Linked DNA regions of Mus musculus. The protein of the gene in region 1 binds, or shares a complex with, the protein of each later gene. Links are inferred from orthologs where the notes say so. Each region holds a gene or a part of one and is shown in the gene's direction. Other genes may lie near its edges. The genes, in order: Mapk8, Dusp16, Mapk8ip1 and Atf2.

What was found.
Region 2: the proteins of Mapk8 (region 1) and Dusp16 are in contact, whole or in part, in a crystal structure (PDB 4YR8), measured with the Homo sapiens proteins. The link is inferred for Mus musculus from reciprocal best matches to the Homo sapiens genes MAPK8 and DUSP16. Residues at the interface, in NP_001310257.1 of Homo sapiens: Arg189, Val196, Ile197, Leu198, Gly199, Asp229, Ile231, Trp234, Gln253, Thr255, Val256, Thr258, Tyr259, Val260, Asn262, Arg263; in NP_085143.1 of Homo sapiens: Phe215, Leu267, Asp268, Tyr271, Lys275, Pro279, Ile281, Ser282, Pro283, Asn284, Phe285, Asn286, Leu288, Gly289, Gln290, Leu292, Asp293.
Region 3: the proteins of Mapk8 (region 1) and Mapk8ip1 are in contact, whole or in part, in a crystal structure (PDB 3VUM), measured with the Homo sapiens proteins. The link is inferred for Mus musculus from reciprocal best matches to the Homo sapiens genes MAPK8 and MAPK8IP1. Residues at the interface, in NP_001310257.1 of Homo sapiens: Lys83, Asp112, Ala113, Gln117, Val118, Met121, Leu123, Glu126, Arg127, Tyr130, Tyr133, Val159, Lys160, Ser161, Asp162, His286, Val323, Trp324, Asp326, Glu329; in NP_005447.1 of Homo sapiens: Arg157, Pro158, Lys159, Arg160, Pro161, Thr162, Thr163, Leu164, Asn165, Leu166.
Region 4: the proteins of Mapk8 (region 1) and Atf2 are in contact, whole or in part, in a crystal structure (PDB 6ZR5), measured with the Homo sapiens proteins. The link is inferred for Mus musculus from reciprocal best matches to the Homo sapiens genes MAPK8 and ATF2. Residues at the interface, in NP_001310257.1 of Homo sapiens: Asp112, Ala113, Gln117, Val118, Met121, Glu126, Arg127, Tyr130, Leu131, Tyr133, Val159, Lys160, Ser161, Asp162, Cys163, Val323, Trp324, Asp326, Ser328, Glu329; in NP_001243019.1 of Homo sapiens: Phe36, Val44, Lys48, Met51, Thr52, Leu53, Lys54, Phe55, Gly56, Pro57.

Annotation. Positions count from the first base shown.
Region 1 is NC_000080.6:33,378,663-33,385,828, reverse strand, and holds part of Mapk8 (mitogen-activated protein kinase 8), read left to right. Parts: intron 1-1,877; coding exon 1,878-1,955; intron 1,956-3,504; coding exon of another isoform or gene 3,505-3,509; coding exon 3,510-3,655; 3' UTR 3,656-7,166. UniProt on the Homo sapiens protein: Serine/threonine-protein kinase involved in various processes such as cell proliferation, differentiation, migration, transformation and programmed cell death.
Region 2 is NC_000072.6:134,718,121-134,725,286, reverse strand, and holds part of Dusp16 (dual specificity protein phosphatase 16), read left to right. Parts: intron 1-4,669; coding exon 4,670-4,793; intron 4,794-6,235; coding exon 6,236-7,166. UniProt on the Homo sapiens protein: Dual specificity protein phosphatase involved in the inactivation of MAP kinases. Dephosphorylates MAPK10 bound to ARRB2.
Region 3 is NC_000068.7:92,396,634-92,404,428, reverse strand, and holds the start of Mapk8ip1 (C-Jun-amino-terminal kinase-interacting protein 1), read left to right. Parts: upstream 1-3,165; 5' UTR 3,166-3,302; coding exon 3,303-3,400; intron 3,401-7,795. UniProt on the Homo sapiens protein: The JNK-interacting protein (JIP) group of scaffold proteins selectively mediates JNK signaling by aggregating specific components of the MAPK cascade to form a functional JNK signaling module. Required for JNK activation in response to excitotoxic stress.
Region 4 is NC_000068.7:73,842,613-73,849,778, reverse strand, and holds part of Atf2 (cyclic AMP-dependent transcription factor ATF-2), read left to right. Parts: intron 1-3,403; coding exon 3,404-3,582; intron 3,583-4,225; coding exon 4,226-4,340; intron 4,341-5,202; coding exon of another isoform or gene 5,203-5,210; intron 5,211-7,166. UniProt on the Homo sapiens protein: Transcriptional activator which regulates the transcription of various genes, including those involved in anti-apoptosis, cell growth, and DNA damage response.

The DNA of each region.
Region 1 (7,166 bases):
GTAACAGGTTTCACTATAACATCTTCAGATATGGACATAACCTCTACATTGTTCGTGCCAACCTCCTGTTACTCTCTCATGGCCTCCCTTATTTTCTCTCTGGTCCCTTTTCACCTCCTAACCAGCCCTTGTATGTATTTGTGTCATGTATATTTATATTGTCAAACCCAGGTTCCACATTGGAAAGAAAACATGCAATATTTATCTTTCTGAGTCAAAATTATTTTATTTAACTTGATAATCTCTAGTTCTATCCATTTTTCTGGCAAATGACATAATTTCATTCTACTTTATAGCTGGCTAAAACTAATTTGCATACACATAAACCACTTGTTGTTGTTGTTGTTGTTGTTGTTGTTGTTGTTGTTAGAGACAGGATCTCAAAAAAGCTAGGTCTGCCTGGCTGGCCTGGAACTCCCTATGTAGTGCAGACTAATGCCAAACTTCCCCAGCACTGCGTGCCTCTAGAGTGCTGAGATTAAAGACTGCCACCGTACCCAACCTTACCACATTTTCTCCGTGCTTTTTTTTTTTGTTGATGGCCATCTACACTAATAGTGTATTTACTGCTGTGGATAGTACCACAATAGAAATGGGTGTGCAGATAGCTCTGCTATTGCCTGCCTTAGGTGCCTTTAATGGAATTCTGCTTTTTGGGTTTTTTTGAGGAACCAGTAATTTCTATAGTGACTATTATAATTTACATTTTTACTCTAATATGTATGAAGCTTCCTTTTTTTTCCCCCCACATCTTTACCAGCGTTTGTTACTTTTGGCTTTCTTGATAGATGGTAGCCATTTCCATTGATGTTGGATAGAATCTTGGTACTATTTTTGTGTGTCCCTGATGACATGTGGAATGTTGATATTTTTTTTCATACATTTATTATCCATTTGTATTTTTTTGATAATTTCCTGTTCGGATGAAAAATAAATTTTCTATCTATTGGTTAGGTAGTTGGTTGGTTCTTAGTATTCAGCTTTTTGATAATGCTTTTAAAGTTGTAAGAATATTGAAATAGAAGTATGTGTGTATCCCAGACTAGCATCAAACTTGTGATCTTCCTGCCTCAGTCTCCCAAGTACTAGGATTACAGGTATGTGCCATCCATGCCTGGTCTCCAGCAAAGGATACTATATAAACAAAACAAAACAGAAATACCTTGAACTTCAGGAATTACACAGATGTTTGAGAAGTTCTTTATATTTTTTCACAGAATTACTTTTATGTAATTTTTCAAAGAGTATATGACTCAAAAGTGATAGATAATGATACCAAACAAGTCAGAATCACAAGCAAGAGCATTGTGTCTTTCCGCAGGCAAATCTGTCGTGCAATGGTCTGCTGGGATCCATGAGTCCTAGGAAGGGGTGTTGATGCTGACACCTGCTGTAGGCTACTTGGAAGGATCTGAAGCTGCTGCTTCTTTTCCTTCAGTAAAAATACCCTTCTGTCCCATTCTAATTGTAAATGCTGCTTTGGTTATAAATCTTTCTAATTACAGCCTTGTTGCATTAGGACAGAACCCAGGAAGTAGAAGGAAGGTATTGACCTCAGGTCTCACTTTGACAGAATTAGACAAGGGTCTGTAAGGCAGAGTGCTGTGTGGCTGATACACTCAAGGCAGGGGCTGGTTTCTGACAACAGCTGCCCTTTAACCAGCTGGGACAATTAGAGCAGAGAGCTTAGCTTTCTATCAACATCTATCTGTGGTCGAAGATCAGTGAATTAATTGCTAACACCTATGAGTCTGAAGCTGACACTCAGATCCTCTGCCATTGCTATCATTGCAAGAACCCAGCTTGATGCACCTAACAGATAGAAGCTTTGACTTAAGGACTCATGCCTGAGAGTCACTTTTCCTCTTCTTTTTCAGAACTGATATACAAGGAGGTAATGGATTTGGAGGAACGAACTAAGAATGGAGTCATAAGAGGGCAGCCGTCTCCTTTAGGTTGGTTACAATATAAACCTGGTTGTGATTGTGCCTTGCATCTTGTGTTATAATCTTCAGAGGCCTGGAATCTGCAGTTCTTCCCATGCTCACTCAGTTTGGTAGTTAAATTTGAAAGCCATGACACACTATTGTCTTGATGCATTTGCTGATTTAAAGCCAGTTTTCATTGACACCACAGCCATGTCTTTAAATAAGAAAAAATCCCTTAGAGTTCCTTATTCTTTGCTTTGAAAAGTCTTCAGTTGGAATAGATAAAAACTTCACCACAAAATTTGCTAAATTTGCTATGTGTGCCATCACGTTCTGACGTTCTTTTTAGTACGTTAGTCACACTTGAATACAAGCTTCTGAGGACCTCTTGTCTCTCAGTGTTCTGCTCATCACTGTACAGAAGGGGGACAAGTGCGTCAGCAGAGTCCTGCCTGCTCGGCTTTAGCATCTTGGGGCCCTGAGCACTACACACTGTTTTTGTTCTGTATATGTATTTTTGAGAACTTAAGTTCTTGTACTTCTATTTAGTGAGCTTATGGCTTGAAAGTTGCTCCATCTTGTTGAGATGCTTTAACATGTTCTTCCCTCTGAATGAGGCTTCCCCCTTAAAAGGATTTCTGTCTCTCCATAGGTTTTCCTGGTTTTTGAGCTTTTTCATTTTTTAAATGCATGAAATGCTTGTTCGATACTGCTTTTTCACAGAGAAAAGCATTTTCTCTCTGTTTAGTAAGTTTGTATTTGTTTTTGCCTGGTATTTACCTGGGTCAAAGTATGCCTGAGTTTACCTACTAGGCTGTTTTGGTTACCTGGTAAGTGACACACTCTCTTGTAGACTGGCCACTTGGTTCAGGTCCCTCCTGATCAGATGCTGGTCTTTTTTTTTTTGGTTTTTCGAAACAGGGTTTCTCTGTGTAGCCCTGGCTGTCTTGGAACTCACTTTGTAGACCAGGCTGACCTCGAACTCCACCTGCCTCTGCCTCCCAAGTGCTGGGACTAAAGGTGTGTGCCACCACTGCCCGGCTTTTTTTTTTTTTTTTTTTTTTTAAGATGCTGTTCTTTTGTGTTGGCTTCTACTTTGTAAGATGGACCCAGGAGTATCACTTGAACACTGTGGTTTTTGTGAGACTATCAAAAGTAATTTTCTATACTATTTTAGTTCTCAGGCTGTTTTTAGTTACTTGGATCTTAGAGATCTTCTCTCCAACAAAATGAAGTGTAAGCAGTTTTGTATGTACTCTCAACTCTTTTGGAACACACCCTGAGGCCCATTTATGGATCTTGCTGTAGGGCCATTCTCCATGTTACTTGGATTTTAACTTCTTGTCTTAAACTAAAAATGCATTATGGAAAGGAAAACAAGTATAGGTTTCTAGACATTTTCACAATTCTCCCTTCGTAGTTTGTGTGCATAAGAGAACATTAGTGCTGGGTTCAATACGATTCAGCAACCCGTAAGCCCAGGAGAAGTCTATAGACCCTGAAGGTAGGTAGCACAGGCCAGGCAGCCCGGTCTGCAACTCTCTCTGCAACTGGTTTGCTGTTTTGTTTCTCATAGCACAGGTGCAGCAATGATCAATGGCTCTCAGCATCCATCGTCTTCGCCGTCTGTCAATGACATGTCTTCAATGTCCACAGATCCGACTTTGGCCTCGGATACAGACAGCAGTCTAGAAGCATCAGCTGGACCTCTGGGCTGCTGTAGATGACTACTTGGGCCTTGGGTGGGTGGGAGGGATGGGGAATTGGTTAGTCATTGATAGAACTGCTTTAAAAACAATTCAGTGGTCATATTTTTGAGTGATTTTTCAGAAAATGTAGAATTCATTTTGTAGTAAAGTAGTTTATTTTTTTTAATTTCAAGTGTTGTAATTTAAAACTTAAGTTGTGTTTTTAAACAGCAACAAAACTGTATTGTATTTTTGCTGTAATTAACTGTATAATGTAAACCTAATTATTTTATCATGGTTTAAATTTTGCATATTTGCTTTATCTTATGCTGCTGATTTTTTTACTGAATTTGTAAAATTTTTGTTTATCAAAGCAACTATTATGTGGTGACTTGCATATATCATGAATTATTTAAGATGTTTATAAGTTTTTTATTAGAATTTATTTCAGATGTTTGTTCATGATGCTATCCTTCAGGGTTATGTGCTTATCAATGAAATAACCCCAGAGGAATAAGGGAAAATAACCTGTAGCCAGTTATATTCAGGAATAACTACTGTAAATGATGAACGCATCAAGAAACCTCCAATATTTGCTACTTGCCAATCCCAACTTAGTTAAAACAATTGGTAGGCAACCTTACCTAAATTTTAGCAAACACCTTATCTAATGGCAGAATAACTCAGAGCATGTCTTTAAAGATGCTGGGCACATCCTTCTCCATTTTGAATCTCCTACACCAACCCAAGAAAAACTTAAACTAAGGAATGTGGTATATTCTGATCATCTGTGGCATGCTTAAAGCTTTTGATCACACAAAGTTAAGAGGACACTTCATGAATCTACATTTCCGTGGAGATCAACAGATGCTTCCCCTGTCCTGGCTACGAGCCTGCTTCTGTAGACACTGAGTTAATCTCCTCAGGCTGTAGGTCCTGGCATTGGCCACGAGCCTGGACTTTCCCTGTTGGACAGCTTCTGGCCTCTGGCCTTTCCCAGTTCCTGTTCCTTAGCGGGTCAGTCTGTTGAGCACCAGTTTGTGGTGTTTCTGGCCATTTGATTCTACCTGTAGCATTATCCTGTTTCTACTAGCTGTCAGGAGGTTCCAAAGCCTACTTAAACTTGTGTAGGTGACATTTAAATGAGCAATATGCCGTTCATCTGAAAATAGTAGCACACAGCCATATGTAGGATGTCATTTTCTAAGGACTGTTTCTTCACAGTGAGCAGAGCAGGCATAGTGGTGGTTCTTTCATCTGAGTCTTTGGTTTTTTATATCTGATTTCCAGTATGGACGTTGAGTAGTGTAAGAATGGTGCTGCTCCTGACAAGTGTGTGTTAACTGTTTACATTTTATATCTGCAGAATCCTTTCTCTGTAACTGAATTTTCCTAAGTAAAATGTCATCAAGGTCTCATTATTTCTGAAATGATGTCTATAATGCCCAGGCACCTTTGGTATTATCTGGAACAAGAGGGATTTCATGTAATGAACTGGGAAATGCATACTTCATGAGCTGCAAGGTTGTAGGAAGGAGCCCGGAGCCCCTTGGAGCTCACAATCAGCAGGAGTAAGAGCGGGCACAGCTTGGCAGATTTCTGAAAGGTTGCTTAGCAGGTTCTTTTGTTTTGGTTTTTGGATTTTTCTTCTTTTGGTTGCTTTTTAAAAACATTTAGTGTACAATTACTTTCAAGTAAGCTATTTTAAGTCTTGTTAATGTGCAATACTTAAGATTAAGATATTACCTTTTTAAACATAGCAAGTTTATCAAGATTTCTAGCGTCCCATCTTTTAGTGATTCCTTTTCTATATGTACAACATGGTGCATTTATTTTATTAGACAAGTATGAATTTGAGACTGTTACGCCTCTTGGTTCTAGAAATACAAGGTTGAAGTCAGGATTTTAGCAGAAATTGGAGCATGAGTGTGTTCTTATTTTATATTAGTTTTGCATCTAACTGGTTTTGGTTTTGCCGTGATAAAATGTGTCACTATTGCACTTACCAGCTGATATGCTGTAGTTAGTTTTCTGTGTTTGTGTTTGATTGCTGAGAAGCCATCTTCTTCATTCAGATTTCGGGTAAGTAAGGAATACTAGTTGTTTGATTGTCTCATCTGTTGTAATTGCCAGCTCCCACTTGCCAGCAATCATGTTTCAGTTAAATTTAAAAAAAAAAAAAACAACAAGCTCTCAATGCTTAATGTAAGCTGAAATACCTAACAGAGTATACCTAAAAGCAAGGTCTGTTTGTTAAACATGTGCCCAACACATTAAGATCCACTGTACACACACACACACACACACAAAACACACCACTGTGTTTAAATCTTTTAACATAAATCCTACTGGTACTTTTAGAGTCTTAAAGCATCTTAAGTATTTTTTTAAGAAATTACAAATAACATTTCTGTCTATCAGTACTTATTAAGCCACCCTATAATTTGACTTTTCAATTATATATACTTATGATACCCATTGTCTTACTGTCTAAAAGTTGTTTAGCTGAGAATTAGCATTCCACTTCATGGTTTAGGAAAGAGAGCCTTATTCTTCCTACATGTCTTCCTGGTTACAGGTCTCGTACCCACTAATACATAGTGACCATCTGTAAGATGAGCATGTTGTTGGGATTGCTTTGTTATAGAGCATCTCACTCTTTAATGCTATTTGCTAGTGGTTTTTACTGTGTCATGCCATGCTGCTGATTGCCAAATCTCAGAAGAGTGCACACCAGAAGCAAAGGCCCAGTGTGTTCACACCTGGCTAGTAAGAGAAGCAGTAGTCCCCACCAATACAGAGAAGCTGGTTGTGTACAAAGCTTGCCTGTCAGCCTTATCCCTCAGTTCTGAGCTCATCTCACTTTGTTACCCTAAGACGTGGAGGTAGAAAAGACACTTGACAGGATAGGATGAGCAGTAGGCAAGGGAAGCTGTTTCCTGAGTTACAAAAAGAACTTGGTTTACATTATTGGCCAGTTTCTGCCGCACACATGAAGACATCATCAGTGTTGCCTCAGCGCTAGCCTGCACGGCATTTTGAGATTGAAAAAAAAAACCAACAACATAGTATATTTTCAGAAATACTGTTGTAGTTTGTGAGTGTTGTTCATTAGTCACTCATTAGTGTAGAGTGGATGCATGATGCCCCATGACCCCAGTAAGTCTTACCAGTGAGTAGAATACCCAGCACCGTCTCTCACCCGTAGCCCTCTTCAGCATTGCCTCGTGGCTTGTTGCATTCTAGTGTGCATATTCTAGTGTGCATTGTGTTTCTACTGATCTCTTGGGTGTTTCCTGTGAACCACAGGAGGCACATTTGTCCTAATCGCACGAAAGAAAGATGAAAGAGATAAGGGCATTGAAGCAGAAATGTGTGGTTTGGGGTAAGATAGGAAAATTGTGTCCTAATTAATTTCAAAGTAACTGCTCTTAGGCAAATTGCTTTTAAGGGGAGTCTAGTAAGCAACTTTCTGGGCACTTCTGGTTTAGATTCTCTTCATTACTGAAACTCCTGAGAAATATTACCTGTGGATTAGTTTTGCACAATG
Region 2 (7,166 bases), on another chromosome or scaffold:
GGTTAGTCTGTATCATACTGTGCTCTGCTTTGGCCTCATCGGGAGCCTCCCTTCCTCACAGTGCTGCGACCTAGTGCTGCATGCCACATTATCTGGTAACTTGGTGGTTTGTACTTGGATGTGAAGGCTGGCAGAGGAGACGTGAGCAGCAAGATGAGATGTGGCCACTTCTGTTCCATGCAAGAGTGTCTTGTGGTTTTCCTCCAATAGGGACACAGCTCCATAATTAAATCTTGTGAATTAGTTATTGTAATGAAAAAGAAAGGACCAGGGCTCAGCTGGGGTTGGCTCATCAGTTCAGAGCACTGGCTACTCTTCTGGAAGAGGCAGGCCCAATCCCAGCCCCTGTGCGCTGGCTTAAAACTAGCTGTGACTAGAGTTCCAGGAGATCTGACACTCTCTCCTGTCCTCTTCTGGCAACACAGACATATTAATATTTCACAGATACACATGTAGGCAAAATACCCATAGACATAATTTTAAAATTTTCCCCATAAAAAACAAAATTAGGTATGTTAACCCTGGTAACATTTTTCGCTTCAGGTAATTCTGATATAGTTCTTGTTGTGGTTGTGGTTCTTCTCCTTCTCCTCTCTCTCTTATTTTTTTTAGAACTTCAGTTTTCCAGAAATTTCTGTCATCAAATTGAACTTGTTCTTTAAAATGCCTCAAGATTAAAAGCTATAACAGTTCACATTAAAGTAATCATAGAGAAAATTCTTCATCCTGATACTTTCTCACTGTACCTCTGAGTATATCTAGCATAGCATTAGATTTCTAGCCCCTAAGAAGGCAGACAGTTGTGATCAATGTTCCCATTGGATGCCATGTTGATTCAGAGGCATGATCCAAGCTCCTGCTCTCTCTCCATGGTTGCTTCCTTGGCTCCTGCTCAACCCCACCCCACCCCCAAGTCCACGAATCTGTACTGAGGCAACAGAGAGACTTGATTAAAAGGATGGACTTTGGAGCCAAACTTTGAGTCCTGCCTCCCTGGTTATCAGTTAAGCGATTGTGTGTATCTAACATAAAACTCTTAAAACTCTCTTGAGCATGTTTCCTGAAAAAAAGGCTGGGTAACACACCTGCTTTGTATGAAGAGCATGAAGATTAAAGCAGACAGTCTCTAGGCAGCGAACCTTTGCAGAGTACTCAGCTCAGAGTTAGCTCTGAGGACGTGCTCACCTCTTTCTGTTTTCTGCTCCTCTCTCTGACACGCTCCTGCTGGGCTGGCCTCATCCTTTGGGCTCAAGCACTCCTCCTGAGTAGTAGGGACTCTAGGCACAGGTTACCCTCACTGACTAACGGATATTTTAAAGAGTACCACGAAGACTTTTTCCTGTCTCTCCTCAGCTGAACTGTGCTCTGACCTCCCTGGCCATCGCTTCCTTTTCAAGCCCTGACACCTCGCTCTTAGCAGGCCCTCAGTCTTCTCAGCCTTCTCCTTTGCTTTAGTTTATTGTTGTGGCAATGTTTCTGTCCCTAAACATTGCTTTGAATTCCTGTAGTACTAACTTGATGTTATTTCCAGTTTCACCATCTCTGACTTCTTATTCGTCACTCCAGAACTAGCAGAGTCTCCTTAATTTCCTACGCAAGAAGATGGCTCTTAGCCTAGCATTACCGAGAGTCATCCTACATACCACACACACACACACACACACACACACACACACACACACACACACACACACACACACATGCACACGCATGCACGCTGGCACATACACGTATGTCCCTACTTTTGCAGCCACCTCCCCTTATTTCTTCCATGGCTTGTGAGTGCCAGCTCCAGCAGACTGCCTTCTGAGCCTGCTCAGTACTGACAGGGCTCTCCTCTCATGGTTCTTTCCTCTCTACCAGGTCTTTGTGTGGGACTTCTGTTCCAAGGCATGGGCTAGCACTCAGTCTGTCAAGACCTACGTGCTAATGAGCCCGCTCTAGAATAAGCACTTTTATATTTAATTAAAGACACTTATCAGATGAATTGTGGCTATAAAAAAAACAAAACAAAAAAAAAAACTCAGTATGAACACAATACAGAAAATTGAAAGGGGAAGGAAGCCCACCATCAACGCTGTAGTGCGTATTCTGTCAGGGTTTTAAAACAGCGTTTGTCTTCTTACTTGTATGTATTAAGTAGAGGCACACACAGGCAAGCAGACATGTGACGTGGTGCATTTCTGGAGGTCAGAGGACACTTTGGAGAGTCAGGTCTCACCTGCTTGGAAGTACCGGCTCTTTGTGAGGCGTCACTGCTGCTCGGGCGGCTGGCTGTACAGCTGTCACTTTTATTTCTTTGCAACATCCTTCAAAAGTTTTAGTTTCATTGTTACTATGGTTGTGTGTACATGATACATGTGTGTGGGCACACATGTGCCACCATACATGGAGGCCAGAGGACAACTCATTCAGCTCAGACAGCAGATACTTCTGTCTGCTCAGCCTTCTTTCCATTTCTCTCTCTTTTTTTTTTTTGTTTAAATAAATTGCTTTTTAAAATATGTGCGGGGCTGGAGAGATGGCTCATCAGTTAAGAGCTCTGACTGCTCTTCCAGAGGTTCTGAGTTCAATTCCCAGCAACCACATGGTGGCTCACAACCATCTGTAATGGGATCTGATGTCCTCTTCTAGAGTATCTGAAGATAGCTACAGTGTACTCTCACATACATTAAATAAATAAATATTTTAAAATATGTGCCAGATACTATTAACTGCCTGCATAAAATATGCTAGTATTCAATACGTTGAGGACTGTGAGAACAGGACCATGTTCTTATACTTTTTTAAAAGATAATTATCATTTGAAATTTTTTTTTAGATTTATTTTTATGCCTGTATTACCTGTGTATATGTTTGGTGCCTGAGGATGTCAGACAAGATCATCAAATACATAGATCTGGAGTTACAGACAGTTGTGAGTTGTAGTGTGGGTGCTGGGAGCCAAAACTCCAGCAAGTGCTCTTAACCACTGAACCACCTCTGCAGCCTCAGATCATTACTAGCAATAATAGGAGATAAATTCAAAATTAAGAAAACTGAAGCCACGGGGTTTTAGGATGTGTGCTGGAATCGGATGTGGAACTTTTCCAGCGACAGGCGGTGCTCTGCACGCTCTTCTCCCCAGCCTTCCAGTCCTGCTTCTCATCAGGATTTGGAGCAGCTCCCAGCTTCCAGCTAGGGGCTGGGGTCCACACACACACACACTCATGCATACACACCAAGAGGACCAAAGTTGGAGAAGAGCCAAATAACAGGGACAGTATAATGTTGGGACATAAAATCAGAATTGCTTTGAGCCTTTCAGCCAATGAAAAGAGAGACAGACTACTGAGTAGAAGGTAATAATGTGGGCAGTTGATGTCAGCATACTATGAGTATGTGTAGGCTGTGTGCTTTGTGTGTTAGCCTGCCCTGTGTGTCAGTGTGGATTGTGTTCACTCTTTCCTGTTTGGCTCCCTTGTCTAACAGAAATGCTGCTTGCTGATTACTCTTAAATTATTTAGTATGCAATGAGTAATAAACTACATTTACTAGAAGTCTGTATCACAGGCTGCGAGGTTGGAGCAGCTCTGTATTGTTCAGTATGCAGTGCAGGTTCCTTGTATTCTGATAATTTTTAAGAATGTTAACCTTGTCTGGTGGTAGTCCACACATTATTCCCAGCACTCGGGAGGCAGAGGCAGGTGAATGTCTTGAGTTTGAGGCCAGTTTGATCTACAGAGTGAATTCCAGGACAGCCAGGGCTACCCTGAGAAACCCTGTTTGGAAAAACAAAAGACAAAACCAAAATGATCTTAACCTGAGTTTTGACTATAACACAAATGAAAAGGATAGATTTGGCTCCATGACAACAACTTTAAGCTGGGCACATGTGTCGTAGTTGAGGGTAGAGTCTGTCGTGGACTTGCTTACAATGGTGTTGCTTGTAGGCTGTCTGGGCTGTCATCTGCTCCTCCATGTGCGCGCTGAAGCTCCTCAGCAGCAGAGAGGGCAGCGCCCCCTGGATCTCCCTGGCTTGCTCCTAATGGTGTCCACAAGTCTCAAACTCTTGCTTCCTATTAGAGAACTCTGCTCTAGCATGGACATGTTTTCGAGTTAAGCAAATAGCTGGGCAGACAGTCAGCCTTTAGGTGCTTCCTGTCCAAGCGTGAGGACCGGAGTTTGATTCCCAGAATTCATGTAAAAATGATGGGTTTGGTGGTGCTCGCTTGTAATCCAGTACTGGGGAGGCAGAGACAGGAGGCTGCCCCAGCCCACTACCTTAGTCTACTTGGTGAGCTCCAAGCTCGTGAGGCACTTTGTCATACCTGGGGAGTGACAACCGAGGTAGACCTCTGGCTTCCCTCTACTTGCATTCTTACACATGCATTACATGGCAAAAAAAAAAAAAAATTGAAATAAGAGCCCAGCAATCTGAGGTAGTAACCCATTCATTGCTTATTAATAATCCCTTTAAACCTTAATGGCTCATGATATGTTACTAGTGAGAGAACTACCCTTCCCCTTCCCCCTGTAAACAATAAAGGATAACTAGGAGGCTATGTAGGTAAGATCTGCTTTGAAGTTTCAGGTGAAGACACCGACAGTAACACTCAGAGTAATGGCCAGTGCAAGATTCCCTTGCTGAAAAAATCCCTAGTGACTTTTCTTAAATTTGCTCCCACAGAGAAAGCAAAAGCCTCCAATGGCTGTGTGCTTATCCACTGCTTAGCTGGGATCTCTCGCTCCGCCACTATTGCTATTGCCTACATCATGAAGAGGATGGACATGTCTCTAGATGAGGCTTACAGGTAAGGACAGGAGCACGGCTTATGGGACTTGCTTTCATTTTCCCTGAAACAGAAAGAGGTAGGAAGGTGGGTGACCAGACGAACGTAGACAAAGCTGATTTTGGTCACACACATCACAGGTTCCTGGTGACTCATGGCCTTGCAGAGACTGAGGAAGAGTTGGCTCTGCTTAGCTTTCATTCTTCTAACATGTGGAGTCCCTCCTCGGCTCTTTTTAGTAACAGACCAGGAAAGCTTATCCTTTCCCTCAATAGAGAAGCATGACCTTTTCTGATTGACAAGGCCACAGAGGCTGCTCTGCTGGACTGGACTGCAGAGATGGAAAAGCCAGGTACACTCGTGGATAAAATCTGAGGAAAACTGCCGTCCTGTCTAGTTGGCCAGATTTTACAGGTAGTAGTTTTGCCTAGGCTGCCCTCTCCTTCTATCTCAGGAAAGGACAAAAAGTGGCAGGATTGCTGAGGACTTGTGTCTTCTTTGGTGACAAATGAGACTGAGTTCTCTCTTATGCCTCTGTTGTATGCTCTGTTGACAAGAAGTGGTTGTGTCACATAAGAAAAAGAATAAGAATATAGATGCATGCACCATGTTAGCTTCTTTTGATATTTGAGTTTCTCAGAATGTAAATTCTGGAACAATGACACGAGCTGCTTAGGCAGTCTGTCTTCCTGGGTGCCGGGAGGGGTAGGTAGATCGGTCCTCTTTGTACAATGCTTCTCTCCAATTAGGCTATGTCCCTGTGTCCTTCTGCTTAGGTTGAAGTCAGGTGGGAAGGCTCACATTCTTATATCCCATTACAGTTTTACTGTGTGAGTTTTCAAGATGGATTTAGACACTCATTAGTCCAAGGTTTGAATCCCGCTTCATTGTTGAGTGAACTTAAGGACTTTGCGCCTGATATAGATGAAGCAGGTTAAGGACTGAGTAATTCAGTCCAGCAGCACAGTGCTTAGCATCCAGAGGTCACTTTGTAACGGATTTTTCTAACATTGTGAATATAAAAAGAAATCCAGAACTGGGTGCTCTGACACTGTGCCATCTGGTGCCATCCGTCTCCTTATGGGAAGTCTTGAGATGTGAGTGAGTATGGACGTTGGAGAGGGAATCCTGGGATGCTGAAGCTGATGAGGGGCTTAGCCTTGCTGTGCTGCTGGGTGTGGCAGGGAGCAGGGCATTTCCTGGGTTCAGCAGAATCCTCTTATCAACTGCACAGGAAGCCTTGGCTTCTTGGAAACAAGGAGCCTAGAGAATCCCCTCTAGCGGGCACCCACCATGCCACAGCACCCTGATAAGGTGTTCTCCACCTCAGTGCTGGAATTGTACGTGAGTTCTCTTCCAGCACCCTGAGAAGGTGGAGTAGTGTCCCGTCCCACGTTCTCTTACTAGCTTCAAGACAAAGTGCAGTTGTAAAACTCAGGGGTTTTGCTTTGTCCTCTCTATAGATTTGTGAAAGAAAAAAGACCTACTATATCTCCGAATTTTAATTTTATGGGCCAACTCATGGACTATGAGAAGACGATTAATAACCAGACTGGAATGTCAGGGCCAAAGAGCAAACTGAAGCTGCTGCACCTAGACAAACCCAGTGAGCCCGTGCCTGCAGCCTCAGAGGGCGGATGGAAGAGTGCACTGTCTCTCAGTCCACCCTGTGCCAACTCGACCTCGGAGGCATCAGGGCAAAGGCTTGTGCATCCTGCAAGTGTGCCCAGCTTACAGCCGTCACTCTTAGAGGACAGTCCGCTGGTACAGGCGCTCAGTGGGCTCCAGCTGTCCTCAGAGAAGCTGGAAGACAGCACTAAGCTCAAGCGTTCCTTCTCTCTCGATATCAAATCTGTTTCATATTCAGCCAGTATGGCCGCGTCCCTACACGGCTTCTCGTCAGAGGAGGCTTTAGACTACTACAAACCTTCTGCCACACTGGATGGGACCAACAAGCTCTGCCAGTTCTCCCCCGTTCAGGAGGTATCAGAACAGAGTCCAGAGACCAGCCCGGATAAGGAGGAGGCCCACATCCCCAAGCAGCCCCAACCTCCCAGGCCTTCTGAGAGCCAGGTCACACGCTTGCACTCAGTGAGAACCGGCAGTAGTGGGTCCACCCAGAGGCCCTTCTTCTCGCCACTGCATCGGAGCGGGAGTGTAGAGGACAATTACCATACCAACTTCCTTTTTGGCCTTTCCACCAGCCAGCAACACCTCACCAAGTCTGCAGGGCTTGGCCTCAAGGGCTGGCACTCAGATATTCTGGCTCCCCAGTCCTCTGCCCCCTCCCTGACCAGCAGTTGGTATTTTGCTACGGAGCCTTCACACTTGTACTCTGCTTCAGCCATCTATGGAGGCAACAGCAGTTACTCTGCCTACAGCTGTGGCCAGCTG
Region 3 (7,795 bases), on another chromosome or scaffold:
CTCAGAGTTGTTAATGCCCTTGGCCCTGGCCTTTATCATGTCAGACCAGAAGCCTGGGGTCAGACTCGCCTCTCCAGCTGTCTAGTACATCTGACAGGCTTCTTTTTGAGATGGCCTCAGGTTTTCTCAGCAGAGAGCTGCCTTTAGTCCAACTGTTTGTGTCCATCATTCTGACTAGAAGCATCCTATGATTGATCGGGTGAAGAAACAGGGCACCTGTGATGTCCATGTTTAGAGTTCTGGGGTGTAACCTCCCTGCTCCTTAGCCCAGGCCAAGAGGAAGGAGCCAAACCGCCTTGCTGGCGAGAAGGTAGAGTGGGCCTGAAAAACCAGTCTCAGGAGCAAAGGCTAATTCTGCGTCCAGGATTTAGTTTGCAACATCTTCAGCTGTGGGGACAATGGCCTTCTCCGCTTTTTTTGATGATGGTTCTCTTCACAAGGTATAAGTTGGCAAGATCATCTGTCCCCCCACCTCCTTGACAAGCTGGCCCATTCCCAGGCCAGCCTTCCAATGCAAGGAGCAGTCTACACCCACAGCTGAGATAGAGTGGCCTGGAGCCTTGGGGTGACTTCATGCCTCTTTTTGCCTAGCCTGAGTGGCCCTGAGGACTGTCACAGAACAGTGCCCCATGTCCTCCTCCTGGGACCTAGCATGGGGAAGAGATGGTTGCAGGCAAGAAGCACTTTACAGAGTTCCCTATTGCTGGGAAGGTTGTGTTTCTCCCACAGTTTGTTTGTGAATATTTACCTGTTTTATAAATGTCTGATCCTGTCTGAGTAAAACTGTGTTGTGTAATCTATCTTGTGGGAGGTCTGGGACCTGGGCTCCTGAGGCTGAACCTAAGTAAAGCTTTAAGGCAAGCCGTGTTGGGCTTGTTGGAGTGAGGAGTCTTATTCTCCCTTGGATAGAGGAGACTGTAAACTACTGTGGTATGCTAGCAACAAAAGTCAGCCCAAACCACACAGGGTACCAAGATCAGTTCCTGCGTGCCACCTCTCAGTAGTACTGAGTAGCCTGTTGAGATCCAGAGTACTGCGTCCATTCTTTATAATGTGCTAAGAAGGTATGTGTGCCCTCTAGACACAGTTAAGGAAGCTACTGCCAAGCCTGAGGCCTGGATGCTGGCCCTGTCTTGTACCATCTGGCCAGAATGCCGTGCACATGGGTGTTCCTGGTGCGAGAGGGGCTCATGCAAAGCCAAAGAAAATCACAGTCTGCTCTATAAACAGAAGGAGAGCTTTACTCTAGGGCACATCTCATTCCTGGCTCTGCCTCCAAGCTTCTGCTGGCCTACTTTCTACTAAGACTGGCCTCCCTCTCTGGGCTTCTCATGTAGCTTTGGCGTGGCTGGAGAAGCTGAGATACCTTTGTTCTTGAGCAGAGGTTCTATGAGAGGGAACTGTCCTACATACTCACACACTTCTGACCTCCTGGGGATGCTGCCCAGTGGAGACAAGCACACATTAACCATGCTAATCAGGCATGGCTGCTTTCCTGGGAGGGAGGGAGGGAGGGAGGGAGGGAGGGAGGGAGGGAGGAAGGTGCCTTAACAGCAGATGGTTTGGGCAGGGCCTCCTGTGAGAGGCCTGAGCCAGAGCAGAGAGTTAAAGTGACCAAACCTTTACCTCTTGAAGCATCAGTGGCAGGGAGGGGAGAGGCAGCCAAGGCCTCTGGCTTTAGGTTCTGGAGTGTTCTCAGGGCTGAAGCAGGGAGATTGAGTACTACAAGGTAGGTGCCTACGCTTCTTGCTGGAAAGGGGAAGGAGGCAATCAAGTTTGCACAGACTGTAGAACATTGGTCTGTCCTGCTCCATTTATGTGAAGGGCAGGGTCTGTGGCCAGAGGTGACCTGGCAGGGAGGCTCTCTGAGCCACCAAAAACGGGGACTCGAGTCTTGGTAAACGGTGTTGTGTGAGAAAACCCAATAGAGAACCAGGAAGAAAGCACAGCTAGACCCAGAGTGGGTGCAAGGAACAGAAGCAACCACAAAGCTCTCAAGAATCCGGCCCTGGGGATGAGGAAGGTCCTAGGCCTTAGGGTAGGAGAAGCCAGTTCAGGACTGTGTGAGTGCAAAAGGGGTGCTAGATAGAAAACGCAGTGGGAAGACAGGTGCTGAGAACTGGGCACAGGAGTTCACACTAATCCCCCAGTTTAGCAGGAGACTCAAGAAGATTGTCATCAGTTCTTAGTCAGCTGAGGCTACATGGTAACTTCCAGGACAAACTGGAAATGAAAGAAAAACAAGTGATGGGGTAGTCCTGGCATACAGAGGCTTCACAGGGCTAAGAAACCAAAAGCATCACTCAGGTTATCAGGGGTGGTCAGGGCTCAAGGGGGTCTTTGCTGAAGGAGGCAGAGGCAGGAGGATCACGAGTTGGAGGCCAGCTTGGGCTACACATTTTTAGGCCGGGCATGGTGGCGCACGCCTTTAATCCCAGCACTTGGGAGGCAGAGGCAGGCGGATTTCTGAGTTCGAGGCCAGCCTGGTCTACAGAGTGAGTTCCAGGGCTATACAGAGAAACCCTGTCTCAAAAATCAAAACAAAACTAAAGGGTGGGTCTTGATAGAGGTGGCCTTCAGAGATTTCTGCGGGAGGTGATCCCAGTGCACAGGTGGGTGTTCCCAGCTCCCAGGGACAAGTATTTCTATCGTTTTTCTTCCTCCCCATGCTCATGGAGGGCTCATATTCCATTTCACACATGGGAAAGACAAGCCTTGGAACTATGAGGTCACTAATGCAATTCTCCACTGCCTGTTCACTTGTGGAACCAAGCTGTGGTCTTAGGTCACCTGGCCCCATAGCTGACTGCTCTTGGACCCCACTCCACCACCATCTCTCCTTTCTCAGCCATCTTCTGTAACCCTTTTCCTACCCCAGTTGCTGTGGAAGGCCAAAGACGGACTTGGGGAGCAGGATCTTGCCATCCGCTGATGCCCTCGATCTAGGTCCAGCTCTGAGGAGAGCAAAGCTTTGCCAGTGCTTGGAATGTCCCTGGGATGTGTAGGGAGGCCGAGGGGACCCAGGGCCACGGGATCGAAGCGTCAGCACTTCGGAGAGCGCCGGGGCGGGGCGGGGCGGGGGCGGGGCCACAAGACCCCAGCCGGCCCGGGGGCGCGCGCGGGGCGCTCTCGCGGGGGCCGCAGGCGAAGCGGCGCGCTGTCCGGAGCCGCGCCCGCCCCAGCTCAGTCCGAACCCCGCGGCGGCGGCGGCCTCCTCCACGCGCCTCCGCTGCTGCCGCCGCCGCCGCCGCCGCCGCCTCCCGCGCCGCTCTCCGCCCGGATGGCCAGGGCTGCACCCCGGAATGGCGGAGCGAGAGAGCGGCCTGGGCGGGGGCGCCGCGTCCCCACCGGCCGCTTCCCCATTCCTGGGACTGCACATCGCGTCGCCTCCCAATTTCAGGTAAGGATCGAGGCCCGGAACCTCGGGATCCTTGGAGACCCTGAGGGCGGCGTCCTTTCCCGGCCGAGCCCCCAGCCCCCACAACCTCCAGTCCAGGTTGGTGGCCACCGCGTGGCCCCCCGCAGCTCCTTCTGCCATTCCGTGTCATGGGGTGGGGTGATTGAGGTGGATCTGGGGCAGGAACCTGGGAGGTCGCCTTTCCCCTCCACCTTGGCGGGAGTGGGTCTGGGGTTTGGATGGAATTCCCGGTGCAGCAATCCGCCCAGACTTTATCCTGCCGCGTTCAAGGTATCTAACCCAAGGTGGAAGTAGGCTAAGGGGTTGGGGGCCCAGAGGCCCCAATTCAAAACCCTTGGTCCTTTAAGAAGAGTCGTGAACCCCTCTCCCAGCTAGCTTGGCCAGATGGGTCAGATTGCTAGGCGATCTTGGACAGGGTCTTCTGAATTTGGGCAGCTCCCTGGTCAGTTGTATCTCAGGACAGGTGCAGAAGGATTGGCCTCAACCAGTGAAACCCAATTTGCTTGAGGGAGGGGAATCTGCCTGTGGATATCCAGGGATACTGTTGGGGGGTCCCCACTGTGTAAAGACTCAGGACACCGAACTGAGCTCCTCTTTGACCCACCCCTCCATCTGATGTTAGACCAGGTGAATGAATTTCAGAGATGTAAGGCATGATGTGTTGAACCGGTGACTGTCCTCTCTTCACCTTTTCACACACATACACACATACACACACACACACACACACACACACACACACACACACACACACACAGAGAGAGAGAGAGAGAGAGAGAGAGAGAGTGACGAAGAAGAGAAGGGTGTCACTGCTCCAGAATGTAGAAGCTGAGACATACCTCATTGTTTCCCCATCAGGAGCAGGCGCCTTTCTCTCTCCTGGGACCCTTGCTCCAGCCAGGCCCCAGCTGGGCTCTGGCGCCAAGTTGTCATCTATTGAAGGGGTCTCTAGCTCCCAGGTCCTCAGGTGGGCAGACACACACACACACACACACACACACACACACACAGACACACACACACACACACACACACACACACACACACACACACACACACACACGATCTTAAATGGTATGATCAGGCCCTGAATCCTCCAAGGAGGCCCTAAACCCAGCTGAGAGAACCAGAAGGAGGGGGCCAGAGGATGGTTCCAAACCTGAGGAAAGCCTCCAGGCTAATGCTTCAGATTCTCCCTGGTAGGTCAGGCCTTTGCAGGGGAAGAGAATTAGCTGCGAGGGACAGAGGTTCGAATCCTGTTTCCACTGCTTCCTCGCTGCCTGATCCAAGCTTGCTTTTGTCTTTGGTCTCATCTGTGGAGTGGGTTAATTAATATTGATTCCTGCCTGGGAAGGAGACAGTATGCACCAAGTCACTGTTCAACAGGTAGCCGGCCACACTGGCAGAAATCTGTACAGCTTGTTTCTGTCAAAGTGTTTCTCCAGGGTAGTTCACTGAACCTTCACAACCATCCTGAGGGCCCACCCTAATCTGCCCTTTGCTGAGCTGAGGCGATGGAAGATAAGGAAGGCAGAGGGGCTAGCCTAGGAACCACAGAAAAATCTGACTGGAAGGTCAGGACTGGAACCTGAAACCAGGTCTCAGCCTTCTCTGTTCCCTCTCCCTATAGGCCCTATCTCTGGCCCAGGGTAGGCTCACACCCTATTCTGGCAGGAAATTGTTTATCATACAGGCCCGAGAAGCCAAGATGAAGGCTACTAGCCAGGGAATGTGTGGCCAACTCTGGGCTATGTAGAGCGGGGGCAACAGTATAGCAAAAGGCTGAGTGAGGAGTGGGCTGGCCTGCAGGACACTGTGCCCTAGCTGTGAGACAAAGCGGGCTTTGGAGATAACACTGGGCAGTGGGGCCCTACATGGCCTACTGCCTACTTCAACAACCCCCACTGCCCTTTCTCTTGTCCTGCTTCAGCAGCCACTGGTCTGGCTCCATTTAACCCTGATCTTCGATGCCCATCTTGTGACTCTTTGGTAGGGCTGTGGGTTCAACTGTTCTTTTGTTTTGTTTTGTTTTGTTTTGTTTTGTTTTGTTTTGTTTTGTTTTGTTTTGTTTTGTTTTTCGAGATAGGGTTTCTCTGTGTAGACCTGGCTATCCTGGAACTCACTTTGTAGACCAGGCTGGCCTCAAACTCAGAAATCTGCCTGCCTCTGCCTCCTGAGTGCTGGGATTAAAGGTGTGCGCCACCACGCCCGGCTGGTTCAACTGTTCTTAAAGCTGTGTACTCCACCACTACTGCGTACTTAAGCCCTTTGGGTCCTTGTTTTTCCTTTAATTTGTCTGCCCCTAATCAGGATGGTTCTAGAACTCAGGTGTGTGTGTGTGTGTGTGTGTGTGTGTGTGTGTGTGTGTGTGTGTGTGTGTGTGTGTGATTTCTACTCTGAGCTTCTAGGATGTGTAAGCAGTCTATGTCAGTGCTCTGCTCTCCGCACGACTCAGTCCAGAACAGGTGCTCAGCAGGGCTGGTTTACTACGGATGAAGGGTGGACGCACGGGGCCGTTTCTCCTGGAGAACAGAGTAGTGGGAAGCACCGTGTTGAGAACCTCGTGGGTCCAAGCGTGTGTGCTGCTGTAACCATGTGAATGGGTTAGTACTACCACTGCTTTCAGAGAAGGAAACCAAGAAATTTCAGCTCTGCTACCAAGAGAGCGAGCCCTGGGATCCTGGGGTGCACCTTTGGAGGGGTGAGCATGTGTGGCCTTGAGAGATGGGAGCATCTGTTGGAAGCTGATTTAAATGAGTATGTGCCGGGTGGATTTCTGACTATGGAAATCTTCCATCTGGTCCCTAGTGGTATATCTATCTGCATGTAGGGTGGGGTGAGGACTTTTCCTTTTCTAATTTACCTGTTTAGGTACCATTTGGCTTCTTATTTTTGGATTAGCATGTGTGTATAAGTTACTGAGTTACTTACAGCATAGCGAAAGGATATTTTTAACTCTTCCATGTTTTTCATAAAGAAAGCTCTAGGGGAGGGGATTTAGAGCATTACACAATGGATCCGTTGACCCTGGGTGTGTGGGATGAAGGGCTGAAACAAAGGAGAGTCATCCCAAGTGGAAGGGTCAGCAGGACAAAGGAGTATTCATGGGAAGCAATATGAACAGCCTGCTGTAAGTCTATGCCCAAGAGTCCTGGAAAGGGGAGACCTCGGAGGATGTCAACTTGTCAGGGTTGGGGGATGGGTGCTAAGTGCTTGCCTGGTGTGCTGGAGGGCCTAGGTTACACTGTGGAAGAAAACAAAACAGAAACAGAAAAATGGCCCAGTAAATATCTCTTATGCAGGAACATGAAGGGGCAGTGACTTCCCCAAGAACACACAGCAAGTTAATCATAAAGTTGGGATGGAGCCAGGACCCAGATGGAAACCTGGATGATGTCAGATGACCCTACTGCGCTGCCTCCATACAAGAGGCACTCACCTCAGAGCAGAGCCTCATTTACAGCTTTACAGAGCCATAGGCATTGCTCATCAAACAAACCTTTTGCTGGGCTCATCAGGAGGAGCAGTATGCAGAGGTCCTGACATGAGTCTGACCCCAATGCAGGAAACAATGTAGAGGTAGACAGTGTCTTCCCACATAGGCCGAGTGTGGTGATCATGCAGGTACAGGTCCCACAGGGGAAAGTCAAGCAATCCTCACAGAGGGGGAAGGTTCACAGGGAAGGACAGGCTAGGGAATAGGCAAATAGGCAGGGTGACACCTGTTTGGCAGTGTGAAGGGCAGAGCTGTGCAGTGGGTGCTGTCTTGGGGTCAGACAGGGACTGCCAGCAGCTGGTGGATGGTGTGAGCTCACTCTGGCTGCTGAGCAGAGTGGATGGGGAGGCAGGGAGACTTGTGGTCGGACCATCCATCCTGCCCATTCTGCAGACAGGTGAGAAGGCATGGGATCAGGATAGGAGACGGTTAGGGGACGGGGCAGATCAGGTCTTCCCGCTGGTCTGAGGATAAAGAAGATGCAGTAGCGACAAACCAGGGTGGTGCCTGGGCTCCTGGGGACATGAGAGGGGAGTCAGGCAGCAGGGTTAGCACCTTAGTGCTTGCCAGATTTCAGATTGGTGATCTTTGCTGATGGAGCTGCTGCAGTCAAGTGAGCAGTTGGTTTTGGCAGAGAGCGTTTGGGAGGGCAGGTGGGAAGTGTTCAAACCATGGTTCTGGGAGTGTCACTGTTCAGAGGAGACTACCGTCACCTTAGGAGGAACCTAGGACATGGTGAGGATAAGATGGGGACCACCAGCCTTGCTGTGGTGAGGATAGGAAGCAGAATGACAGTTGTTGCCTCTGGCCTAGCTGGTGAGCCTGTGACATAGAGCAGAAGAGCTGGCTAGCCTGCAAGCCTCACACAGCCCAGCCATAGC
Region 4 (7,166 bases), on another chromosome or scaffold:
CCTACTATATACTTAGTATGTTACAAGCTATTATTCCTAGATTAAACCTGTACTACTTGATACTACTATATTGACCATGTAGGTAATTATAGCACACAGGTATTTAAACATAGAAAAGGCACAATTAAAAATGCAGGCTGGGAGGATGGTTCATTGAGTAAAACTTGCTTCATAAGCCTGACAACTTGAGTTTTGATTCCCCAAAACCCACATAAGAACCAGATGCCGTAGCACTAGTGCCTGTAATCCCTTCATGCTCTTAAGGGGAGATGAAAGGAGGAGGAGGAGGAAAATCTCCAGAAATCCTAGGTCTGGTACCTAGTTTACACAGTGGCAAGAAAACTTTGTGTCAAACAAGATAGAAAGGTAAAGACTCATACCCAAAGATTGTCCTCTGGCTTCTATATGTGCATGCCTGCATCCCCACACACAAACATGTACACATACAGGTATACTCAAATCACAGAGAAAGAGAGACAGACAGACCGCCTGACTGACCACCAGTATAAACATTTATACAGGGTATACTTTAAAGGACACCAACCATGAGTAAAGCTTACAGAGTGGAGTTTTATACTTCAGGACTAAGTGAATGAGTGTCAAGTGAGTGTGAAGGCCTGGGACATGACTTTATACTGCTCTTGGCTATACACTATATGTAGACAATACTAAATGTTTCTTTTCAGTTCTTCCAGTAACAAATTAATCTGGCTTATTGTAACTTTTATAAAGTTCATTTTTTAACTTCATCTCTAATAACATTTATTTTAAATCACAAATAGATGGTATAAGAATATAATAATACTTTATTTTATCCTTATTCTATACTACTCTTTCTCCCAATATTGAGAATTGAAATTCTGGGCAGGTAGAATTCTTGGAAGCAAAGGCACATACTCCCTTTCATTAGATTTCCCAAAATCACAATTTTTAATGGTTATACTTGATTATTGCCTTAGATATATTTAATTATCCCCTTATTTCTTAACATACGGTCATTTCCACATTTATTATAGTTATTAAGGATCCTGAGAACAGCCTTATTTCCCTGCAGAGCATCCCTTTCCCTTTATATTTTCCAGTTTTCATTCTTGTGGCTAGTTTATCACCTTCTAGGGGTGCTGCTTCTGCATTCCTTAGTCATTAATTTCTTTTAGGTAGTACATAGATCCACTAAGTTGTGGAAAATCAGTTCGGGACCTCCTCTGTTCTAATTTTCTTTTTAGGGATTTCCATCAAGAATTGTAATAGAAACTATAAATTAGTAATTCCCAAATTTACATCAGCCAAGGTATCTCTCCTGATTGCTGAATACAGTTTCTCTGTTGTCATCTCCTTTACTTTGTCTAGGGAACATCTCAGTATGTCTGAAACTAAGCCCTTAATTCTGTCCTCATTTTTCTCCTCTGAGAAAATTTTCTCTACCCATGCATGGTGGTAGTATGTCCTTGTAATTCCTGCACTAGGAAGGTAGTGTCAGGAGTATTGCACATTCAAGGCTAGCCTGTACTGCTAAAACTTTCTGGGCTATGTAGCAAGACCTGCCTCTCATTTCCAATACCCTTCCTGCACCTTCCAACAAAAAAAAGAAAGGGAAATGTGCATCTATCTACTTATTTAAGCAAAGCATTTAGGTGTCACCTTTAGTTCTATATTTTCTACCTTGACTTTGAAACCAATAGCAAATCTTCATTTACCAAGCATGTTTTGAATAAGGTTCATACCACTTTTGTGTTCAGTGTAATTGTCTTAGCTGTCATCTATCAGTTGTACCACTACTACCCGGCTTCTCTCTCTCTCCCTACTCCAGTGCTGAGAATGGCATGAGAGCCCCAAGCACGCACTTAAGACTACTGAGGGTTCCCCTTCCCTCTATTTTTCTTGCAAAACACAAAGTTTCTTTATGTTTCCCAAGCTAGTTTCATATTAATAATCCTCTGTGTGAGTTTCCCCAGGTTGCTGGGACTGTATGCATGCCAACCATACCAGGCTAAATTTCCTTTCAAACCTGCTTCTATTTTTGATCTGCTTCTCTTAGTTCTAAGTGTGGGAACTTAAAAATTTATTGAGTCATTCTTCTCTGCTGAAAATCTTCTAGCAATTTGCTCTTGAAGATAATTTATATTTATTCCTTAGGAAAAGCCTCATTGATTTGACTGTCTACTCATCCATCCTCGTTTCCTGCTCTCTCTATCCATCAAATATTGTAAGGTTTTCCTGCCTAGCATTCCCCCTTCTCTATAGCCTGCCTCTTCTTGATTCTTTCAATATCAGATCAGATTTCTTTTTGCAAGGTTTTCTTCCTCACTATTACAGTGCCCAGCTCTACCTTACCCTCTGCTAAATCATTATTTATTGTAGAATGTTTAATGTCCTTTCTGGTAGGAAGTTTCTGTGATGGTTTTACTCATTGTCATTCTGCTCACTAGTTCTTGAGTTGGAAGTTTTTAGATGTGCTGAAAACTGTAGTTACAATGCTACTAATTTCTCCTTCCTAGTATCTTACTAAGACTCCAACTGAAAGTAGCTATATAAAGGCCAGTTCAAAAGGATACAATAGTTAGGGAGTTCTGGGTAAGGCCCTCATCTCTTTTGTAATCTGAAAAAATAGGAAATATTTTAACAATCATCCTGGCTGATTCATAAATTCTATTTCTCTTTAGTTTGGAAAGCTCTCAGCTCTACCTGCTAATTTTGTATGACTCACTTGGTCTTTTGATACTAGAAAATTAATGTTACCAAATGAAAAACTACCTGAGATTAGCAGACTTTTTTTTTTCTTAATTTAAAATGTCTTAAAACATTTCTGTTTGTTTGTTTGTTTTGTTTTGTTTTTTTGAGACAGAACTTCTCTGTGTAGCTTTGGCTGTCCTGGAACTTGCTCTATAGTCCAGGCTGGCCTCAAACTCAGAGATCCACCTGCCTCTGTCTCCTTGGGATCAAAGACGTGCATCACCACCACATCTGAACACCAAATTGTTTAAGTCATAGCACTATCTTGCTGGATCAGTTTCTTGATTTTGTAATACAATAAGCAAATAGGATAGGACAATCCCTTGCAGGTTTTGATTTTTGATTACTGACAGTAAATTGTATTTGTATTTCTTACTGAAATTCTCACAGAAACATTGCCAAGTAGCCCAGCCTAATTTATTTTAGAGTAATAAACACATTGAACCAAAAACACAGATTTGGGGTTTTTTTTTTTAAATTTTAAGAATTACATTTGAACTTTACAACTGCTTAGATATTTTCAATTAACTTTAGATATTAATTTACTTGTAGAGGCATTAAGTATTATCTAGTGGTTGCTTTCATAAATGTGTTACATTCTGTTCACTGGGATACATGAATTAACTTGCGTTTTTAAATACTACCCTTTATTTATCTTAAAATTAAATAGGAAGTACCATTGGCACAAACTGCACAGCCCACATCAGCTATCGTTCGTCCAGCATCATTACAGGTTCCCAATGTGCTGCTCACAAGTTCTGACTCAAGTGTAATTATTCAACAAGCAGTACCTTCACCAACCTCAAGTACTGTAATCACCCAGGCACCATCCTCTAACAGGCCAATTGTGTAAGTGATTCCAGTCACTCACTGACTGTACATGAGTTGTTAGGGTTTTTTGTTTTGTTTTGTTTTTTTATGGTTTTCCCTAGGATATTTAATTACTTGAATTAAAACGTGTGTGTGTGTGTGTGTGTGTGTGTGTGTGTGTGTGTGTGTGTGCGCGCGCGCGCTACACGAGAGAAAAAAGGAGAAAGAGATCTGTCTGTCTTGGGTTTTGGAAACTTTTAATATTTTAAAAATAATATTATCTAACACATTGGACAATAAATATCTAAATCTTAGCTAAAATAATGAAAATAGACTATAAGTTTAAGATGGTCTTACTTTTATGGTTTTTGACACAAAACAAAGCTATTCCATTTCAAGATGACATTTGTCTCAGTTCTTAAAAGTAACTCCCAAGACCTTTCTGATGAGAAATTTTCTCATTTCACAAATTGGAAATCCATGATTTTTCCCCAGGCTTTTTAAAAAAAACACTCTTACATAGATTATGCATTTAAGATGCAATTAAAAATATCTAAGTTTTGTAATTTGCCCTTTTAAGGTTAGAAAACTTATTTTTAAGCAATAGGAGGGAAAAGACTGTTACTTTGCAGAGGTGGTTGGTATGGATCTTTACATTTTTCCCTTGTTTTGTTTTTCTTAGTCCTGTACCAGGCCCATTTCCTCTTCTCTTACATCTTCCTAATGGACAAACCATGCCCGTTGCTATTCCTGCATCAATTACAAGTTCTAATGTGCATGTTCCAGCTGCAGTCCCAGTAAGTTGGAAAGTTAGACCATTTAAATTTAAGTCTTTGTATCTAAACTGGTCTGGGTAAAATAACCAGAAAATATATTTGAACTGCTTGATTGGCTTACAAAATGGAATTTATCAAGTGTTTATTAATTGGGAGTAGTATTTATTCATCATTACCTGTAATCGACTATAATATTCTAGGCAAACATAATTGGATTGAAACCTTTCTTTACCCCCAGCCCACTCTTGTTTTCTGTATTCTTATTGCATTATTTCTTGATTCACCTCACTCCAGTTTGACTAGGTTTATGAAATTCAAATATTTCTTAAGATACTTGTTTTGGAATGCTGGCAAATAGCTATGGTGTTTATAGTTATAAAAATTCTTCAAAAAACACACTTGTCCTTTATGGTTACATGAAGTTTAGTGGCCCAGGCATGTTAAAGTCCAAACATTCATATCTTGGCCTGATGACACATGCCAGGAATCCCAATAGTCAACAGATAAAGATAGGGTCAGAAGAAGGTCATAGCTAGCCTCAGCTAAATAATACATTTTAGGCCAGCCTGGGTTACTGTTGTGAGAAAATCCAAAAAAAAAAGTTTTATGAGAAACACACTAAATACTCAAATTTTGGGAAATAAAGAAAAAGTAATTAACTATATTGAGTTGTCTAGTGAACATTTAAAAACATAATGTTGGGCCAGGCGGTGGTGGCGCACGCCTTTAATCCCAGTGCTTGGGAGGCAGAGGCAGGTGGACTTCTGAGTTCAAGGCCAGCCTGGTCTACAGAGTGAGTTCCAGGATAGCCAGGGCTATACAGAGAAACCCTGTCTTGAAAAAACCAAAAAAAAAAAAAATGCTGGAGCTGTGTGGTTAAGAGCTTGCACTGTTGTTGCAGAGGACATGAGTTCAGTTCCCAGCACCCATTGCAGATGGCTCACAACTGACTATTGCTCCTGCCATAGAAGATGTGAGAACTTGGCACACATGCCCACCCATAGATAAATACATGTACACACAATTGGAAAGATTAAATTGTTATGTAAAAGCACTGTATTTGAAATGATGAAAATTTTCTTTTTCATATCATATTTCACAAAAATAGTTTTATTCATACTTTCAAATTAGTCTTCCAACATTTTACATTTTCATCCTGAAAAGAACTTTTAGATATCTAGCAAAGTTGTCTAAAACATACTATTTTCATTTTCCCTAAATTATTTATGATACATATATAATTTGAAACTTTCTTAAAGAATACTTTAAGCCTTAGTCATTCATGTAATGAATATAGTTGGAGGGTTTTGTTGTTGTTTTTTTCCCCCCCCCCGGGACTAGTGAGATGTGTCAGTGGATAAAGATACTTGTCACCAAGTTTGACAACCTTTGTTCCAGTCTCCATGTCCCACATGGCAAAAGAAGAGAACCAATGCCAGCAATTGTCCTCTGACCTCCATATGTGTGCCATGACATGTATGTGGAAACATATATGCAAAGTAAAGAAATGTAAAAATTTTATTATTACATGGATAAATAGTGTTGATTCATGTGGTATAATCCTTTAGTATATAGCTTTTTTTTTTTTTTTTTTTTTTTTTTTTTTTAAATTTATTTATTGGTTATATGTAAGTACACTGTAGCTGTCTTCAGACACTCCAGAAGAGGGTGTCAGATCTCATTACGGATGGTTGTGAGCCGCCATGTGGTTGCTGGGATTTGAACTCCGGACCTTCGGAAGAGCAGTCGGGTGCTCTTACCCACTGAGCCATCTCACCAGCCCAGTATATAGCTTTTTGAGATTATTTTTTAAAGCTTACTTGTAGCAACATTCTAAAATTTGTGGTTTGGATATGCTCCTCAACAAAATTAGTAACATATTAAGTATTAAGTTTATTTAAAAAACCTTCCAACCTACCTTCCTACCTTCCTTCCTTCCTTTCTTCCAGTTTTGAAGCAGGATCCCACTATATAGCACTGGCTGGTCTGGAACTATGTAGACCAGGCTGGCCTTGAACTCACAGAGATCCACCTGCCTCTCCACATGAGTGCTGGAATTTTTAAGTAATCTAAATGTCCAAATTATCATTGATTGAGGTATTTCCAAAATATTTTTCTTCTTTAAACAGAACCGTGTTATTCAAATTGCATTACTTAAAAGTCTTAGTGAAGACTCGGGGAAAGGTTTGCTTTCTCTTTTTTGAAGATATTTTTAAAGCAGGAAACATTCTTGCTTTGTATTTGAGATAAAATGATTATCCTTTTGAATGTGCCTGTATTAACGGCAACTTGTAATGAAAAAAAGAGATTAATTAACCTTACTCTTCTAAAGTGAAAAGCGAAAGTGGCAAACCCTGTTAAAGTATCACCTGAGGCATTATCAGGGGGCACCGGCTTCTATGTTAGTACACAGTACATTAATACATCAGTGCACATACATTTTAGAAAATTCATGTACTTATTTTAATAAATTACAGTTTGTGTTGAAATTATTTTAATTTTTATTGTCACAGATTTGGTAGTCCTTTTAATTGCAAAATTGGAATGTAAAAGATAATCTACACATTTTTGTATCAGTCACTTTGAATATTATGGGTTTATAAAAAGGAAGTTAAAGCCAGGCCAACTGACACAGGCCTCTTACCCCAGTTACTTAACAGGCTAAGACGACAAGCTAACCTGGACTACAGAGTGGGTGCAAAGCCATCCAAAATAACTTTATGAAATCCCATCTCAAAAAAACAAAAGTGGGTAGTGATAGAGCTTTATAATAGAGCACTTGACTCATATGCCCAAGACCTTGGTTTTGATCCTTGCAGGTAGATTGGGAAGGAGAATACAATCCTT